3 linked regions of the Mus musculus genome follow. The protein of the gene in region 1 purifies or fractionates together with the protein of each later gene. This does not show direct contact. Links are inferred from orthologs where the notes say so. Each region holds a gene or a part of one and is shown on either strand. Other genes may lie near its edges.

The links.
Region 2: the proteins of Ptpdc1 (region 1) and Ppp2r1b purify together in Homo sapiens (affinity purification with mass spectrometry; 3 studies listed by BioGRID and IntAct, counting the BioPlex papers as one, with this or other methods). This does not show direct contact. The link is inferred for Mus musculus from reciprocal best matches to the Homo sapiens genes PTPDC1 and PPP2R1B.
Region 3: the proteins of Ptpdc1 (region 1) and Ppp2r2a purify together in Homo sapiens (affinity purification with mass spectrometry; 4 studies listed by BioGRID and IntAct, counting the BioPlex papers as one, with this or other methods). This does not show direct contact. The link is inferred for Mus musculus from reciprocal best matches to the Homo sapiens genes PTPDC1 and PPP2R2A.

What each region holds. Positions count from the first base shown.
Region 1 is NC_000079.6:48,579,784-48,585,119, reverse strand, and holds part of Ptpdc1 (protein tyrosine phosphatase domain-containing protein 1), read left to right. Parts: intron 1-1,849; coding exon 1,850-2,035; intron 2,036-4,254; coding exon 4,255-4,365; intron 4,366-5,276; coding exon 5,277-5,336. UniProt on the Homo sapiens protein: May play roles in cilia formation and/or maintenance.
Region 2 is NC_000075.6:50,854,341-50,860,319, forward strand, and holds the start of Ppp2r1b (serine/threonine-protein phosphatase 2A 65 kDa regulatory subunit A beta isoform), read left to right. Parts: upstream 1-2,583; 5' UTR 2,584-2,644; coding exon 2,645-2,758; intron 2,759-3,495; coding exon 3,496-3,586; intron 3,587-4,510; coding exon 4,511-4,611; intron 4,612-5,979. UniProt on the Homo sapiens protein: The PR65 subunit of protein phosphatase 2A serves as a scaffolding molecule to coordinate the assembly of the catalytic subunit and a variable regulatory B subunit.
Region 3 is NC_000080.6:67,069,076-67,074,948, forward strand, and holds the start of Ppp2r2a (serine/threonine-protein phosphatase 2A 55 kDa regulatory subunit B alpha isoform), read right to left. Parts: upstream 3,397-5,873; 5' UTR 3,022-3,396; coding exon 3,015-3,021; intron 1,235-3,014; coding exon 1,160-1,234; intron 1-1,159. UniProt on the Homo sapiens protein: Substrate-recognition subunit of protein phosphatase 2A (PP2A) that plays a key role in cell cycle by controlling mitosis entry and exit. Involved in chromosome clustering during late mitosis by mediating dephosphorylation of MKI67.

The DNA of each region.
Region 1 (5,336 bases):
CGAATGGAAGGGTCTTTGTGTAAAGTACGTCATGGGGCTATTTCTGGGTCAGCCCTGCATGCCCCTCAACCAAGTGCCCACATGACATAAGATGGGTTTGGGTCCGGAGCTTTAATCAAGACCTGTGAGGCAGGAACTGTCGAGTCTTTGCAGGTTCTATGATCTGCACAGAGTTCCAGGTCCCTTCTTACCTTCTTAGATTTATTTCAGGACTCTGAGTACCTAAACAAGCCAGTGGTACTCTGGGAAGTGGTGAAACAACCATGTTGATGTGTGTGCTTGTGTTAACCCATTTGTGAATACGCTGTGCGCTTCTCTCAATAACCCTAGGCTCAGGTGGACTGTTTAGAGACTCCTTGTTACCATTATGAATTCCGTGTCACCGGTGAGGAAACTAAGGACTCCAGACATCTAGTGGCCTCCTGTAGGCATGGTTGATGTGTCAGAGCTAGAGTACAGTTTGACTAGTCAGTCTCTCTTACATCTCTGCCTCCGTGGGAAGCTCCAGCCAGCACCATGGGGCAGTACTTATTTCACAAGATAGCTTTTGTTCTGCCCAGTTTCTCTCCTCATATAGCCCTAAGATTAAATTAAAGGCTATCCTGTACTGTACACAGTGTGTGAGATAGGCAGGGGTATGAACAGCTCCAAGGATGGGCTCATTTCTAAGAGAAAGGGAAACGCAGGCCTAGTGGGTTCCTATGCTACAGCCAGTGGAGTAAGGCGAGCTAATGGAGCACTCTCCACCCTTCTCAGGCCTCGAGCTCTGCACGGGCTTGTCTCCACCTCAGTGTTTATCTGTGAGGAGCCTCCTTGAGAGCTGCTATGAAAGTTAGGAAGCAGTCCTGTGATACTGATGCTGTCACATTGTGGTACATGCTGCAAGAATTTACTGGACAACTAAATGGATGTTAATAACTACTTTATTTTTTACAATTGAACATTTTTATTCAATTTACCAAAACATAAATCTGATCTCAGAAATTTTTTTAACTCCTTTTTATAAGGTGAAGTCTTAAGATCTCATGTGAGGCTGGCAGTATGACTCATTAAAGACGAATCCCTCTGAGCTTGAGTCTGAACTCCAGGACCACATAATAGAAAGAGAAAAAGCAGCTCCACAAAGTTGTCTTCTGGTCTACACACACTCATACTCACATACACACACTCATACACACAAACTCACACACACACACGCTAGTAACATGCACATGCATGCACACATGTGCAGGCACATACACAAATATGCACAAATAAATAATTAAACTCATATTTGCACTTCCCAGATCTCAGAGTGCTGGACCCATTACCTGCTCTGTAGGATTCTAACAAGCACGTAGAAAAATGCATACCACATTTACTGGCTTTAATGGAATACACACACACACACACACACACATACACACACACACACACACACAAACTTTGACGTTTCGGTTAAAAGGTTTAGTTAGCTAAGATCCCAGATTAACTTATAAGTGGTCTCTTATTTTTAATCTACCATTTTACTTCATTTGCTGTCAAATTTCTGTTTTGTTTACCAGATGCCGGAGAAAAAAAGACTCCATTTTGAGCTACTTCTATGGTCTCTGAATCAGTCAGGGCCACACAGTGTAGTGACTCTTCTCTCAGTAGTTAGCTAACCCTGTTTGTGACAGGAATGAGCCTGGGCTTGGGGAAGCTCCTGTGTTAGCCAAGTGCCCATACCTAGAGGTGCAGGCCCCGGGGAAGGTCCAGGTTGCACCTCAGAGGCCAGCCTCAACTCTGTAAGTGCTTATGAATCCTCTAGTTCGGGTCCATACACCTCTTTTCCCCCCAGATCTCTCCCTCTCTCCCTCTTCCTTTGTAGAAAGAACTAAATTCCCGGGAGGAAGCCTGGGAACGAATATGCGGCGAGAGAGACCCTTTCATCTTGTGCAGTTTGATGTGGTCTTGGGTTGAGCAACTGAAAGAGCCTGTAATCACCAAAGAGGATGTGGACATGCTGGTCGACAGACAAGCAGATGCTGCCGAAGCCCTGTTTTTACTAGAGAAGGTAAAGTAGCAATTGGACCGGCTAATGAAGATAATTAAGGCCTCACTATAAGCTTCAGACATGTGCAAAAAATCCATTACTAAAAGAATGAATTCTCTATTTATGTCTAACTCAGGGGGTTTTCTTTTCTTTTACACCCCAGTTCTGTGTGTATGGTCTGTGTGCAAGTTTGTATGTTTGTATGCAATGCTGACAGAAGACAGGAGAGGGCATCGATTCCCCTGGAGCTGGAGTTACAGGTCTTTGTGAGCTACCTGCTGTGGGGTTCAAGGAACTGAACTCAGGTCCTTTGCAAGAGCAGCAGCTCATGTTCCTAACCACTGGGCCATCTCTCCACTCCCCTAATTGAGTCGTTTTTCTAAGATAAGAGAATAAACTTGGGCTGGGATGTGGCTCAGTGGTAGAGAACAAGCCTAGTGTGTGCGAGGCCCTGGGTTTGATCTGCAGCACTGTAGACGCGGCAAAACTGATTAACAAAGTAAGCATTCAGAAAACAGAAATGGCAGTGAATGCCTGTAATCCTGCCACTCAGGAGGTAGAGAGAGGATTGTAAGTTTGAGGCCAGCCTGGACTACATCCTAGATTCCAGGACATCTTGTAGTGTGCAGCAAGACTATCTCAAAAAACCAAGCTGGGGAAGTGGCTCCCTGGGAGATCCTTTGTGTAGCATGCTCAAGGGCCCAGGTCTGATGCCCACCCCCTAAAAGGAAGCTGTCTATAACTGAGACGGAGATGACCACACTTTCAGGAATCATTTCTAATGTGTGAATTTTGGAAGAGTCACATTAAATTCTTCCAACCTTTCTTTTTAAATCTCTTCAGTGTAAATTTTTAATATAGCAAATGTCATTAAATTTTAGATTTTATTTTGTCTTGAAAGTATGGTATTTTGCCAGGTGTGATAGTGCATACCTTTAATCTCCTCACAAGAGTCAGAGGCAAGCATATCTCTGAGTTTGAGGACAGCCTGGTCTACATAGTGATTTCCAAGCCAGCATAGTAAGACTCTGTCCCCAAACAAAGCAAAACAAAAAGATGTGATTGTTTTTCCTAAGTGGGTGAGCATCTGTGGTAGAGGCTGTGGTGACTAGAGCGGATCTTAAGTGGGCTGTGTTATAACTCTCCACCTTTTCAAAGTCTTGTTTCTACTTACTGTGAGCCTGTGTCAATAAAAACTAAATGCAAATTGGAATGTGCACTCCTTAGAACTTTTAAAGGGGAATATATCACAGGTACTTGTATGTGTGCAGACATCTATATAGCATATATATGTATGAAGTAGAAAAGAATATCAGGAAGCTATCAACTAGTCCCAGTGTTTGCCATCAGGGAAGGATACTGTGAATATAGGAAGAGAAGGAGATGGCTTTTCATTATAGATCCTATTATACAGTTTAATATTTTTAACCAAATAAGGATACAATCTTTTTAGTTCAAAATAGGCCTTGCTTTTGTTTTGGGGAAACAATGCTGTTAGCCTTGAGTTACCTTCTGTGCTATAGTGTAACCATCTCATTGTTCCCAAGTCCTCACTAAAATCTGTGACTGTGTCTACTCACAAACTTCTGTCACAGTATGTTCACAGACACACTTGCTGGCAATGTTCTCACATACATGTGTGTCATGTATGTGAGCATGCATGTGAAGACCTAAGGTTAATGTCATATGTCTTCCTCCATTTCTCTCTACCCCATGTATCTGGCTAGGCTGGCTAGGCAGCTTGCTATAGGAATTCCCATCTCCACCTCCCTGGCTGTGTTTATAGGCCCCTCATGTCCACAAGACTTTTTGCATGGGTTCTAGAAATCTGAATTCCAGGCTTCAGGCTTGCATAGAAAGCTCTTTACCTGAGCCATCTGTGCAGCCCTATGTATACCTTGTAAGGTAAGATTTTTTTTTCCCAGTGTGTAGAATCCTTTTCTTAGGTTATTTTCCCAGGGGTTAAATGTCAGAGATAAAACAGGAGATGGTAGATAAGGAAGGAAGGAGATTAACCTTGTTGAACAGCTATGAACAATCCCTGTGGGAAGTAATTCCATTCTCACCTCTGGCCATCTTGATAGTCCTTGGAGATGAAGGACCCCTTTTACAGACAAGGCACGGTAGAGTACCTTGCTCAAGGTTTATGGCAGGTACCCAAACAAGATCATACTGGATCGTACTGAAGCTCCTGCACGTGGTCTCATCAAGCCGTCTGTAATGATAATCTGTGTCCACAGGGGCAGTACCAGACCATCCTCTGTGTGCTGCACTGCATAGTGAGCCTGCAGACGCTTCCCATGGAGGTGGAGGAAGCTTGCCTTTTACATGCCATTAAAGCTTTCACCAAGGTGAGTCCCTGTGTCCTCCACACCAGTCACAGCACCTCTGTAAGTCAGGGATCCAGAGAGCAACTTCTCTTCTCAAGTAAAACGTTCAGCTCTTTCCTGAAATGCAACTGTGTTTTATAAGTAGTTACAGGATTTCCTAACCATGGTATCAGGATAAAGCTGACCTGTGAGGTTGTTGAAGAATAATGTGGGAGCAAAGAGACAAACGGCTGGGTATTCCACAAGTCTTTTTAAATCCTATTCTCATAAGAGTCCGAGGTATTTGCATGACCAGCCAGTTCCACCTTGGGTTTAAACAAGAATCATCTAAGCAGAGTTAACTGTCCAAACTTTTCAAGTTGGTATCCACAAAATATGAAATAAATGCTTCTAGGAGAAATGCAGTTGTTTATTTCTGACGTGTGAGCCTTGTGGACGCCATCAGCAAGACACTGGCCAACAAGTAGAGCAGCATCCTGCATCCCTTGTGTTGCTGATGAAGTGAGCAGCCTTTCCCGTGTGATTGCTTGTCCAGGAAGGAGCAGTTTGTGGAGGGAGATGCTGCACCAGGATCCGGATTCCCTCTCAGTAGGGCATCCCTTCCTCTGGGACAGTACACGGTTCTCTTGCAGCACCCATGGTCAGTCTCAGCTTCACGTCCCTGCTGACAGCCCTGGTGGCTCCTGCCTGGGTTGTATTAAACTCCAGGGGTGACATTAAATGAGTTTTCAGTCAAAGGTTTGGTACAGACGTGGGTGACACCTCTAACTTAGTCTTTCAGCTAAATGTATGAAACTTAGCATATGTGTTTAACTATATGTATTTTTATATAAACCATCGTTGTTTTTTCCAACCCTTTTTCTCTTTGCAAACAGAAACATGTTAGATTTTTTTACTACAGAGTCTTAAATAAAAATTTTCTTTGTCACCAGGTTAATTTTGATTCTGAAAACGGACCAATAGTTTACGACACCTTGAAAAAAATATTTAAG
Region 2 (5,979 bases), on another chromosome or scaffold:
CAGAGACAGCTGGGAATTGAAGTCTGGCCTCTGTGACTCTCAAACCAGGCAATTTCTAGGCCCTTGTTTCCACGGTTTGTGATTTCACGTTTGATCATAGTCATTCCCTAGGCCTCCGCTCATCGTGCTTGGGCGAGCAGGTTACAGCTGACTCTGAAGCAGACTACCTTAGTGCCGGTGTGTCAAGTTTATGAGCCTGTCACAGTGTGGGACTGACTAGTCCTCTCCTCTCTGTGCTTGCTTGCTTCTATCACTTTGGAACACATTTTAGATAAGGGCCTAGAGGGGGACGGAGTAGTGTCTGCAGCATGCTGGACATGTACAGACAGGATCACAGGCTGGAGCATCCCGTGCCTGGCTGGACCCATCAGGGTCTCTCTGTGAACCCTGGCCAGCCTAGAGCTGTCTGTGCTCTCTTGCCACTGTCTCCTAAGCACTGAGACTGTGAGCATGCACCTGGGTGTACTTTTTTGGGGAGTTGGGGGACAGGGTCTTACTCCAAGGTCTGTAGCCTTGGGTGACCTGGAGCTCACTATGTAGAGCAGGCGGGTTTCAAGTTCACAAAGCCCCCACCTGCCTCTCTGTCTTCCTCGTGCTGGGGTTAAAGGCATGAACCCTTAAACATGGCTGGATCCATTTTTAAAGACAAAAAAAAAAAAAAATCCCGAGAACTCAGTCAAATTATTAAATGTTACTTAAATTTTCAAATATAAACCAACATTATGTTCTCTTAAAACTAGTCTTTATACAGCTACAAAACCAGATTTACAAGTTAAATATACATGAAGCCACAAGGCCAATATTATTAAAATCAATAATGTTGATATTTTTGTAATTTAGTATGACAAATGTGTCTGACACTAAAGCCAAGCCACGCTTTGGGAGTCTGGGCTTGCTGGCCCAAGCTCAGCTTCTCTAGGCTTTGCTCTGCTCATGCCTCCAGTTTCTCCCCCTTTTTTTTTTTTTTTTTTTTTTTACCTTGTTTAGAGCCATTGAGACTGTAATTGCATGGTACCCTCTGTCTTCCATTTTGTGCATAAAAACATATTTTTCATTTAGCTTCCACCTCTGTTCATTTCTTAGGAGCCCAGAACAATGAAAGCTGTGCTGAAACTCACGCAAATACGGGTGCTGAAATCCTGTGCAGGGCTGATTCAGGTAGTCCCTGGGGGCCAGCTAGATGGCTCAGTGGATAAAGGCATGTGTCACCAAACCTGACAACCAGAGTTCAGTTACTGGAACCCACTTGGTAGAAGTAGATAACCCACTCCGCAAGCTGTCCTCTGACTACACTTGTTCAGTGGCTCATGTGTGTACATACCACACATATACACAGTTTTTGTAATTAAAAAAGATAGCCACCCCAGCAGTCCAGACCATGCCTTAAGTAAGTGAATCTAAAAATTATCAAAATAAAACGAGAGTCTTCAAGCATTCATTCGTGGACAGAAGTTGAAAAAACAAAAACCGCAAACTGAAGTCTGTTGGTTCTCAAGCTTTGACTATGAAAGGCTATCTCCTAGTAGGCATCCCATGCTTTAAAAAGAAAAAAAAAAAAACTTACCTCCTAAGTTGCATTTATTAATGACAATTTCCTTAAGGCACAAAATAGTGTCATCTGAGAACTTGTGACAGAGCTACCAATCTAAGTTGCTTATATCTAAGTCGAAAGGAGAGATAGTTACTTTGTGCCATTCCATAGGGCAAGTGGAACATTTTCCATTAAGTTCTGTGTAAAAAGGCCCAGGCCCACCTCCTCCTGGAGTCCTTTAGGGGGACTCCTGGAGGTCTAGGGAGGCCAGTTTACACCCGCACCGAACTGGGGTGAGTAAAACTGGGCCCAGTTATGTTAGGTTGTTGTGCTTCTTGGTAAAGAAGGAAAAAAAAAGAGAAGACAATACAACAGAAGGCGCCATTCCAGTACCACACTGAAAAGAAACACAAAAACAAGAGAGCAGCATGTTTTGAACAGCTTGCGTGGAAAAAATATTGACTGGGGAGTTTGGACAGCACTGTTCATTTTCTCTCACCGCCCTCATTATTTGTCTTAAGGAGCAGGAGCCAGCCACGATTTTGGCAAACAGGCCAGAGGAAGGTGTGTGTGTGTGTGTGTGTGTGTGTGTGTGTGTGTGTGTGCGCGCGCGCGCGCGTGTAGAGGCTTGTCGCCCAAGGGGAAATTAAGACCAAGACCCAGTGGCTCAGGGCCAGCATGAAGCCTGGGGGTGGGGGTGGAGGTTGGGGTGGAGGGGGAGGTGTTAAAGCTTCTTCCTCCTGGCCTGTCTCTGAGTTCTACTTGAGGCTCGGCATCCATCATTAAGGCCCGTCTCCTTCAGAGCACAGCAAGGAGACGATGAATCCCTGCCCTTGTTTCTTTCGGCTGGGGAAAGGATGCAGGGGTTCCATTGGTTTTTTCGGCCCGCCCTTCTTCTGGAGTTCAGACCTCCAGTTCCAGCAATGGGGGTCAGGCCGGAGCCTCCACGCGCAGGGAAAAAACTTGATTCCATCAGTTCCTCGGAGCCGGCTGATTGGATTTAGCCCCGCCTGTTTGTGTGTGGGGCGTGGCCTGAGCGCGGGGCGTGGCCTGAGCGCGGGGCGTGGTCTGGGCACGGGGCCTTCGGCGGCGACCAGCCAGAGGAGGAAGAACATGGCGGGCGCAGCAGGGCCAGGGTCCGGTCCGGGGGCAGCGGGTGGAGATGGAGACGATTCGCTCTACCCGATCGCGGTTTTAATCGACGAGCTCCGCAATGAGGACGTGCAGGTACTAGGCTGGGCTGGGGAGCCGAGGCGAGGGCGGAAGCGCACATGGTAGGGAAGCGGAAAGGCCGGCTCAGCCCTGGGGGCGACCCCCGGGGTGGCAGAGTCGTATTCAGCCCCGGGACGGAGGCGTGGGGCGGCGGGTGCGCGGTGGTCCGTCTCAGCTCCGCTGCCCTCCTCCGACCCTCTGGGGTGGTGGCGTCCATCTGCTCCCGGCAGTGGGCGGGGAACCGGTTCGCACCTCGGGTGGACCAGCGCAGGCGGGCTGCGGGGCCGCCGGGAGCGGAGGAGCGGCCCCCGGCCCCCGTTCCCTTTGAAGTGATGCGGAGTGTCCGTCCCCGGGCAAACTAGCTGGGCTGGTTGGGTGGAAAGAGCGCGGCGGCTGATTAACCCAGATGAGTGGTGCATCAGTTGTGATAGAACTTTTCCCTGAAAAGGGAGGAGTTGTGCTTAACCGTTTCTTTCACCCACTTCTCTCCATCCAGAGTTCTCTCTTTTCAGACCCTCTCATTGTCCGCGTGTTTTCATTCATTCGTTTCTTCCCCGGCCCTTCAGTGTTCTCCCTAAGATAGCTTCTGGCTAATGACGTGTTAAACGGTCCTTGAGTTTTCCTAGGATTAAGATCTAAGTGAAAGGCTCATTCATCATTATACTGTGTCCCAGTATCTCACCTATTTGCTTCTTTGACCAGAATTGCAATCATCTCTTTGCTTTGTTCTCCCTCCCACTTTGTTTTTAAAGCTCCGTCTCAACAGTATTAAGAAGTTATCAACTATAGCTCTAGCACTCGGGGTAGAAAGGACTCGAACGGAACTGCTGCCTTTCCTTACAGGTTTGTGTCCCTTGAAAGATACACGCTCCATTTCTATTGGCTTTTAAACTATTTTTATTTAATTTTCTTAGTTTGTTACCTAGAGTAGCGATAAGTACTAGACTGAGCCTTGCCTTCTGCAAGGTGTATAGAAATGCTACATATAGTCAGACATACTCAAACATAAACCGTGTAGCTAGTGGGAAGGTGATTGATGTGAAATATGGATTTCTTTGTAAATGATTTATTTTATATGCATTGGTGTTTTGCCTGCATGTGAAAGTGACAGATCCCCTGGAACTGGAGTTATAGGCAGTTGTTAAGTTGCCATGTGGGTGCTGGGCATTGAACGCTGCTTCTCTGGAAGAGCAGCCAGTGCCCTTAACCACTGAGCCATCTCTCCAGCTCCAGGATGTGAGTTTCTTAATAATTGTGTGAAACATTCAGGAAGACTTGTGGTAGTCATCTATAAGATGGAACACAGCTCCAATATAGCTCCAATATAGGAGCTAGAGAAAGCACCCAAGGAGCTGAAGGGGTCTGCAGCCCTATAGGTGGAACAACAATATGAACTAACCAGTACCCCCGGAGCTCGTGTCTCTAGCTGCATATGTAGCAGAAGATGGCCTAGTCGGCCATCACTGGGAAGAGAGGCCCCTTGATCTTGCAAACTTTATATGCCCCAGTACAGGGGAACGCCAGGGCCAAGAAGTGGGAGTGGGTGGGTAGGGGAGCAGGGCGGGGGTGGGGGGTATAGGGAACTTTCGGGATAGCATTTGAAATTTGAAATGTATATAAAGAAAATATCTAATAAAAAAACTGACAAAAAAAGACTTGTGATTTAGAGAGGGATGAAAATGCTTTTAGGATTCTAGTTGCAACCGCTCTGTGAGAGCCAGCGCAGTGGCCCTTGCCCCTGTGGTAACCAGCTGTTGTTGTTTTCAGATACTATTTATGATGAAGATGAGGTGCTGTTAGCTCTCGCCGAGCAGCTGGGAAATTTCACTGGTTTGGTGGGCGGTCCTGACTTTGCCCACTGTCTGCTGGTGAGTACTTTTCTATCGTCTATGCTCCTTCTAGAACTTTGTAGGATCAACAGTGCCTTTATTAACTGGTGATAGGCACATTGCAGCATTTTATGCAGACTTCTTATGGGCAGATGACAATAATAATACTAACAAGACTTAGATCTTACCAGCCGAATGTAAGCTTGTTTCTGCCTCTATAGACTTATTATTTCAGAGATGCGGAGGGAAAGAACTTGATTTGGTTCCCCTTTTTCTTTTGTTTGTAATTTTTTTTATTAGATATTTTCTTTATATACATTTCTAATGCTATCCCGAAAGTTCCCTATAACCACCCTGCTCCCCTGCTCCCTTCCTCCCCACTCCTGCTTCTTGGCCCTGGCATTGTTTGTATTTTTTGAGGCAAGGTCTTGTTTTGTAGCCTTGGTTCTATATAGAACAGGCTAGCTTTGAACTCATAGAGATCCTCCTGCCTCTGCCTCCAGAGTGCTGAGATTAAAGGTATGCATCACTATGCAGATGAACTAGACCTTAAAGGATGACTAGAAGCTGACCAGCTGACAAGGCAGGGCTGTCTGTTTAGGGGTTTAAGCACTGTGTATTCAATGCTGGCTCCCATGGTTCCTAGCTCTACCTTGATGGTTCTGTAGAACTCCAGACATAGATGGAGAAGAGGTAAGTGGACACTTGTAGAAATCACAACAGATTTAGATACGGGTTGTCATTTTTCCCTCAAAACGTGCCTCTTTTTGAGTCATATCACTAGCTACCTAGCTATACAAGGCCAGCCTAGAAGATAGCTTTGATGTCAAATTACGTCAGAGAAGTTGAAGCCTGGGCCTTTGCATGCTAGGTGAGTGTTCCTTCACCGAGCTACAGCCCAGCAGAGGAAGGCCTCCTTAAATCCTCTCCCCCTTCACGCCTAAGCTATTAGTCTTGTCGACTGCATCCATCCCAGTTCAGTCTTCATTTGTGCATTCATGGGCACTTGTGCCTGGCTAGTAGCATTGTTGTGGGGCTTCTGTCCTTGGACTCGTTTGCTTCCTTGCAGTGAGTCAGAAAAACTCTTCTGCCACACTTTATTACTGCCATGTTGTTGTGCTGAGGCTCATGTTGTTTCTTCTGGTAGCTATTTGGATTCACAGCAGTGAAAAACTCATTATATATACGCATGTTCCTCTTGGTAACTTCATTCCATGCACATTGGTCTTTCCTTATAAGCCCAGGTCATTGTTGCCCAGACGTTGGCTGTAGATGTTATCTTCAGAGAGATGCTATTTAGAGTTTTCTATAGTGGAGTCCGTGTAAGTCGGACAACTCCATTTTGTATCTTGAGAGGCCTTGCCTGTCACAACCACCCCTTGCCCGTCACCCTGTTGTAATTTGACA
Region 3 (5,873 bases), on another chromosome or scaffold:
CTTTCCAAGTTTCCAGTCTCTCATGTGAGAAAGGAATAAGGACCACCAGAAAACAAAGGTAACAGAGGCTGGAAGCACAAGTGTGCCAATGACTTTCTACAGGACTCACCACACCACGCACACACTGGAGACAAATGTCACCACACAAGCATCTCCTAGTCAACAGTCTTTGGCCTACCACCACCTGAAAAGAAATCCTCAGCACAGCACTCTATGGCAGCAGAGGAGAACCACAAGGAAAGGTTCCACACCTAAAGAAAGGGGTACACATTTTCAGACAACCAGAAATACATACTCTTCTTTGACTTCTATTTAGAAAAATCCCACTAACTTTATTGGGGAGGCAGAGGCAGGCGGATGGATCTCCGAATTCAAGAACAACCTAGTCTACATAGCAAATTCAAAGCCAGCTAGGGACAGACAGGCAGACAGACACAGACAGACAGACAGACACACACACATCCTCTCCCTCTCAAATACACACACATACACACACAGAGTCCACAAACTATATTAAATATTTCTGAGCAAAGAATCCCTTTTGAGATTATTTGTCTCTATCACAAAAGATCACCTCAGACTGCACGCAAGACCTTGACATTTCAAAACTTTAGATACGTTCTGAAATAAATTAGCAAGTTTCTATCTCAAAAAAAGTCCCCACAGTAATTTGTTCTATCTTATCTGTCTTAACCACACGCACAAATCCCTGCAGCACAGTAAAGTGAATCATGTGGACCAGCAGCCATGTCGACCAGTGCCACATCCCAAAGCAGTGGAGTTCAAAAGAACCAGAGCCCCCCACAGAGTAAGAGGTGCTGCTGGGAGCGGTTCTGAGCTAAGAGCTGCTGGCCTCTGTTTCTCTGTTTTATCGAAAAATAACACATAAACATGAAGACCAGTCATTTATATGTAGAATGTATGTAACAAAGACACCTTAGTCACACAAACCTTAGAGCACTGACTGCTGGACATCTACTTCATTAACTCAATGAAAAAAAAAAAGATAAGCAAGACATAAGAAGATATACAGACTTTTCAGAAAGGTGATTTTTTTTAAAGCTATCATCCCACCTCTCAGAAAGCAAACACAAAACACTGAGTTCCTTCAGCACCCAGGACTTTTAAGTCGATAGTCGTCACTGTTAAAATGTCTTACCTTCTGCTACGTCATCATCTACTGCTCCTTTCACCTGAGAAAAACACCACTGAATATCATTCCCTCCTCCAGCTCCTGGAAGAAGAAAACATAGCAATTAAAACTGAGCTCTGTTCTGTTTACGCTTATAAACACAGAGATGGTTCCCGAGGCTGGCATCATAACTCCCTATGTAACTACCACTGAGCCCACAGATTTGGAACCAAATTGGCCTCCAATAGTTGGTAGTGTATTAAAAACAAGTCTGCAGGTACGAAATATCCAAAGACATACAGCCTACCAGTAATTATCATCATACAGATATTTAAAACCTCACTTCCACTTTTCCCTCTCCTTAAAGACAGTCAGAACCTTTCAAGTTAAAACCTACCAGGAAAAAACAAAAACAAAAACAAAACCAACCAAAGCACCAAAGTTAGTTTTCCTTTAAATGTACAAAAGGCCTACAAAAGAGTTATAAGGCTAAACTACCATGAAATATAGAACGAAGAGAAAACTTCGGGAACATTACTGCCTGAGAGGATGATTCATGTGGACTAAGCAAACACAACACCCATTTCTTTGCATTCGTTAGGAGCAAATCACTGGTTGCAGACAGAGGAAAAGGGGCGGAAATGCACGCCTGGGAAGAGATGGTCAAAGGAGGCTGCTCCTGCCACATTCACCTACTGCATCCAAAGGACCCAGAAAAAAGCAACCTTATTCGTTGCTCATCTCCTACAATACAGTTCCAATTATCATTTCATTGTTCAGCAAGGTCAAAGGGCAGCCTGTTTATATAGCAAACTGTAAACCAGTCCAGCATAACTTCTTTAAAGGTTCTATTATCTATGCAAATATTGAAAAGAAAGGAAAATTGGTTTAATCTCCGACACTCACTGCTCAGCACTGAAGAGGAAATGGGGGGATGGGGGCACCCCGGGATTTCTGGAAAAGAAACTCAATCTCAATCCAGAATTACTCTATGAGAGGAAGGGCTTCAAGACTAAATTGTACAAAGATAACCGACTCTCAAACGACATTAAACCTCGCTTTTCCTTTACCCATTCCTTGCTAAATTATTCTCAATCAGGCTTTCTCCCCCCGCACCCCCCCCGTCCCCCCTCAGCAAGGTTTTATAAAATCCCTCTCCCTTTGGCTATTTATATCGGCGAACTCCACAACTATTTTAACTCCAAGAAACCCTTCTGGGAAAAGGACATCTGCCCAAACGCTACCGTGCAAAATGCAAAGTTTAAATTACCTTTCTCTCCCACCCAGCCCCCACCCCAATCCTTGCAACTTCTATTAAAGGCTTAGCATTCGTGAGTGGCAAAAAAATAAGACACGGGAAGGGAGCAAAATCGAAAACGAAATTCAGGCTTACACCCTCAAAACCTGACCTACCCCATTAATGTTTGTGTGGTGCTGGGGGTTGGGGGGGGGGTGACCGTGAGTTGGGGGGGTGGGGGTATGCCTCCATTGTATTTTAACTTGCAAAGCTGTCTTCCTTCTTATCGGTCCAGAATACATTTCTACAGAAAGGTTCTCAGTAGACCGGGAAGAGGAATGAATATGTAAGGAAGAGCGGAGGGAGCAGGGTGCAGAGGGGACCCATCTGCACGCCTGCACCCGCCCCACCCACGCCGTCTCCCACCCCCAACGCACCCGTGCCGTGTTCCTGTAGTGCCAGGCCCCGGGCCCGGCCTCCAGGCCCCACAGTCCCAGCTCAGTGCCAGGCCCGCCCGCCCGCCCCACACTCGGCCAGCGCCCCAGGCCGAGGCCCCGCCACCACGGTCGCTAGGGGGTGACGGAGAGCGCGCAGAGGAAGCGGCACGGCACCCTGTCAGCCGCCCAAGGGCCGTTTCTTCTTTACCTGCCATGTCGCGCTGCAAATGGTGACCCTGCCGGGCTCGTCGGGGTCTCCGCGACCGGGGCTCAGCCCCCACACCTGGGGATGGGGGGATCGAGGGCGCGGATGGAGGCGGATGGCACCTGAGGGGGGAGGGGACCGGGACCGGGGCGGAAAGGAAGCGGCCCGGGTGGAGCGGTCGGCAGGATGGTGGCGTTCACTCAGGGGCGTCCCGTCTCGTGCTCCTTCTCTCGCGGTGGAGACGGCAGCGGCGGCAGTAGCGGCGGCGGCGGCGGTAGTAGTGGCGGCGGCAGCGGCGGCTAGGACAGCGACGGCGGCCGCGGCGGCAGGGACAGGCGACTCCACTTTCAAAATGGCGCCCGCTGGCTGGCCGGTGACGTCACTTGAGGGGGCGGAGCGTCTTTGGGGCGGGTCGTGCTGTGTTAGCCACGCCTCCTTCTTGTCTTGCTTTCGCCCCGCCCCGCCCGCTAGGATCCTTGAGAAGGTCCCTGTACAGAGCTAGAGCTGCACTTAGTTTGCTGTGGCTGTGGGCTGGATGTGCCAAGCCGCGGTGCCCAAGTGGCCAAGGCCTGGCCTGTCTGCACCTCTCACTGTCCCAAGCCGTAGAGCCAAGGCCGGAACTTTGGGATGGCCTCATATGTTCACTTATGCTCAACCACATGGTGAGCTGGCCCTCTCGAGAGAATACCCCTTTTGTTGCTCCAGTGACCCTGTGGGTGAGCCCCGGAGGCACCAAAATTAAGGGAGAGTGATGCATACTTGCCACTGCCTGCCCAAGGTGAGAGTTCACTGAGCCCAGAAGGACACAACTGGACTGGTTCCATCTGGGTGAATTAGGTTACCTTCCCATGGACTAGAGCCCTTGGCTACTGCGAGCAGTTAAGAATAGCTCGCCACAGAAATTGGATGTTGTGAATGCCGCAAAAAGTAGCCAAGGTCTTTTCAGATAAAAGTGGTAAAATCAATGATTAAGAAGGTATGTTCTGCTGGGCAGTGGTGGCATACACCTTTAATCCCAGCACTTGAGAGGCAGAGGCAGGCGGATTTCTGAGTTCAAGGCCAGCCTGGTCTACAGAGTGAGTTCCAGGGTAGCCGGGGCTACACAGAGAAACCCTGTCTTGAAAAACCAAAAGAAGAAGAAGAAGAAGGAGGAGAAGGAGGAGGAGGAGGAGGAGGAAAAAGAGGAGGAGGAGGAAGAGGAAGATATGTTCTTCTGGCCGTGGTGACACATTCCTATAATCTCAACAGCGCTTGTATTCATTTAAGAGGTTCTAGAGTTCAAGGACAGCTGAGTTTGAGGCTAGCCTGGGCTATCTATAGAAGACTCTGCCTAACATACATACATCAAACACATGCAAAAAATTAAAATAAATCCATTTAAATGTAGCCTCTTCCAGTCAGACTCTCTGACATTCCCCCCCCCCTTTCCTATTCACCTTTAACTAGGTCAAATGCCCTTTCTTAGTAGTGCCAAGCTCTCCTCCTAGAGAGAGGGAGGGGAAGGAGGCAGAGGCAAGCAGATTTCTGGAGGTCAGCCTGGTCTACAGAGCTAGTTCCAGGACAGCCAAGTCCACACAAAGAAACTCTGTCTTGAAAGACAGAAGGAGGGCTGGGTAGATGGCCTAGTGGTTAAGAGCACTGACTGCTTTCCCAAAGGTCCTGAGTTCAATTCCCAGCAGCCACATGGTGGCTCACAACCATCAGTAATGGGATCTGATTCCCTCTTCTGGTGTGCCTGAAGACAACAACAATGTACTCATCTTAAAACAGTTAAAAAAAGAAAGAAAGAAAGAAAGAAAGAAAGAAAGACAGGAGGAAGAGGAGGAGGAAAGAGAACAACAACAAAATGTGTCAGGTCCAAAGGAAACTTCCCAAACTGCAAAAGGCAGTTCAAATATCCAGAAATGAGCTCAGCCTGGACTATAGGAGGATTTCTGGAAGTTAGATTAAAAAAAAAAAAAAAAAAAAAAAAAAACAGCATTCTTCAGGAACTTGTGAAGCCAGGGGCCCTCTACCAAAAATGTCATTTCCCTCACTTCTGGCAAAAAGGAGATATAGCTACCTACGTTGCCTAACTGTATATCAAAGCACATGCTGGTATCCCAAGATCCTGTGGCACATTTCAGTCCACGCTAGTGTCCTGCCCTTCTTACCTCTCCTCTACTGTAAACTCCAGCCCTCGGGTGTTTCTCTCCCAAGCTACTCCTCCTTATGACCCTGCTATTCTGGCTGTTTCCTCTATATTTTATCCTCTGCTATTATTCTTCCCTCTCCGGCATGTTCAGTCTGTGCTCTGGACTCTTCCAGATGCCTCTGGCCACTCTCTCATATCTACAACAAAACCCTCCCCTTAACCAAACTATGAAGCAGTCATGTTGTCAGTTTATACAAATAGTCTCATAAAGTATAATGCACTTTTCTGTTTTCTTAAACCACATTAAAATGATCTCAGTCTGTGTCTGTTATTAGACAGAATTCTTTGAGGCTAGGAAGTATGTTATTCATCTCCCTATCACTAGCCACATAATTCATGGGACTAATGGATGAATAAATAAGTCTTCTGGATTGGGAAGAAAAACCACTTAAATGTTGGCTCCTTAAGGTTTGCTGAACTGTAAATATTTTCTCTCTCTTTTTTTAACTTTTAAGATTTCTTTAACTTGTATGAGTCTTTCGCCTGCATGCATGTGTGTGTACCATGTACATGCCTTGTGCCCTCAGAAATCAGAAGAGTGTGTCACACCCCTGGAACTTGAGTGACAGATGGTTGTGAGCTGCCATGTGGATGCTGGGAATTGAACCTCAGTCTTCTGCAAGAGCAACAAGGGCTCTTCACTGTTGAGCCAACTCTCCAGCCCTCAT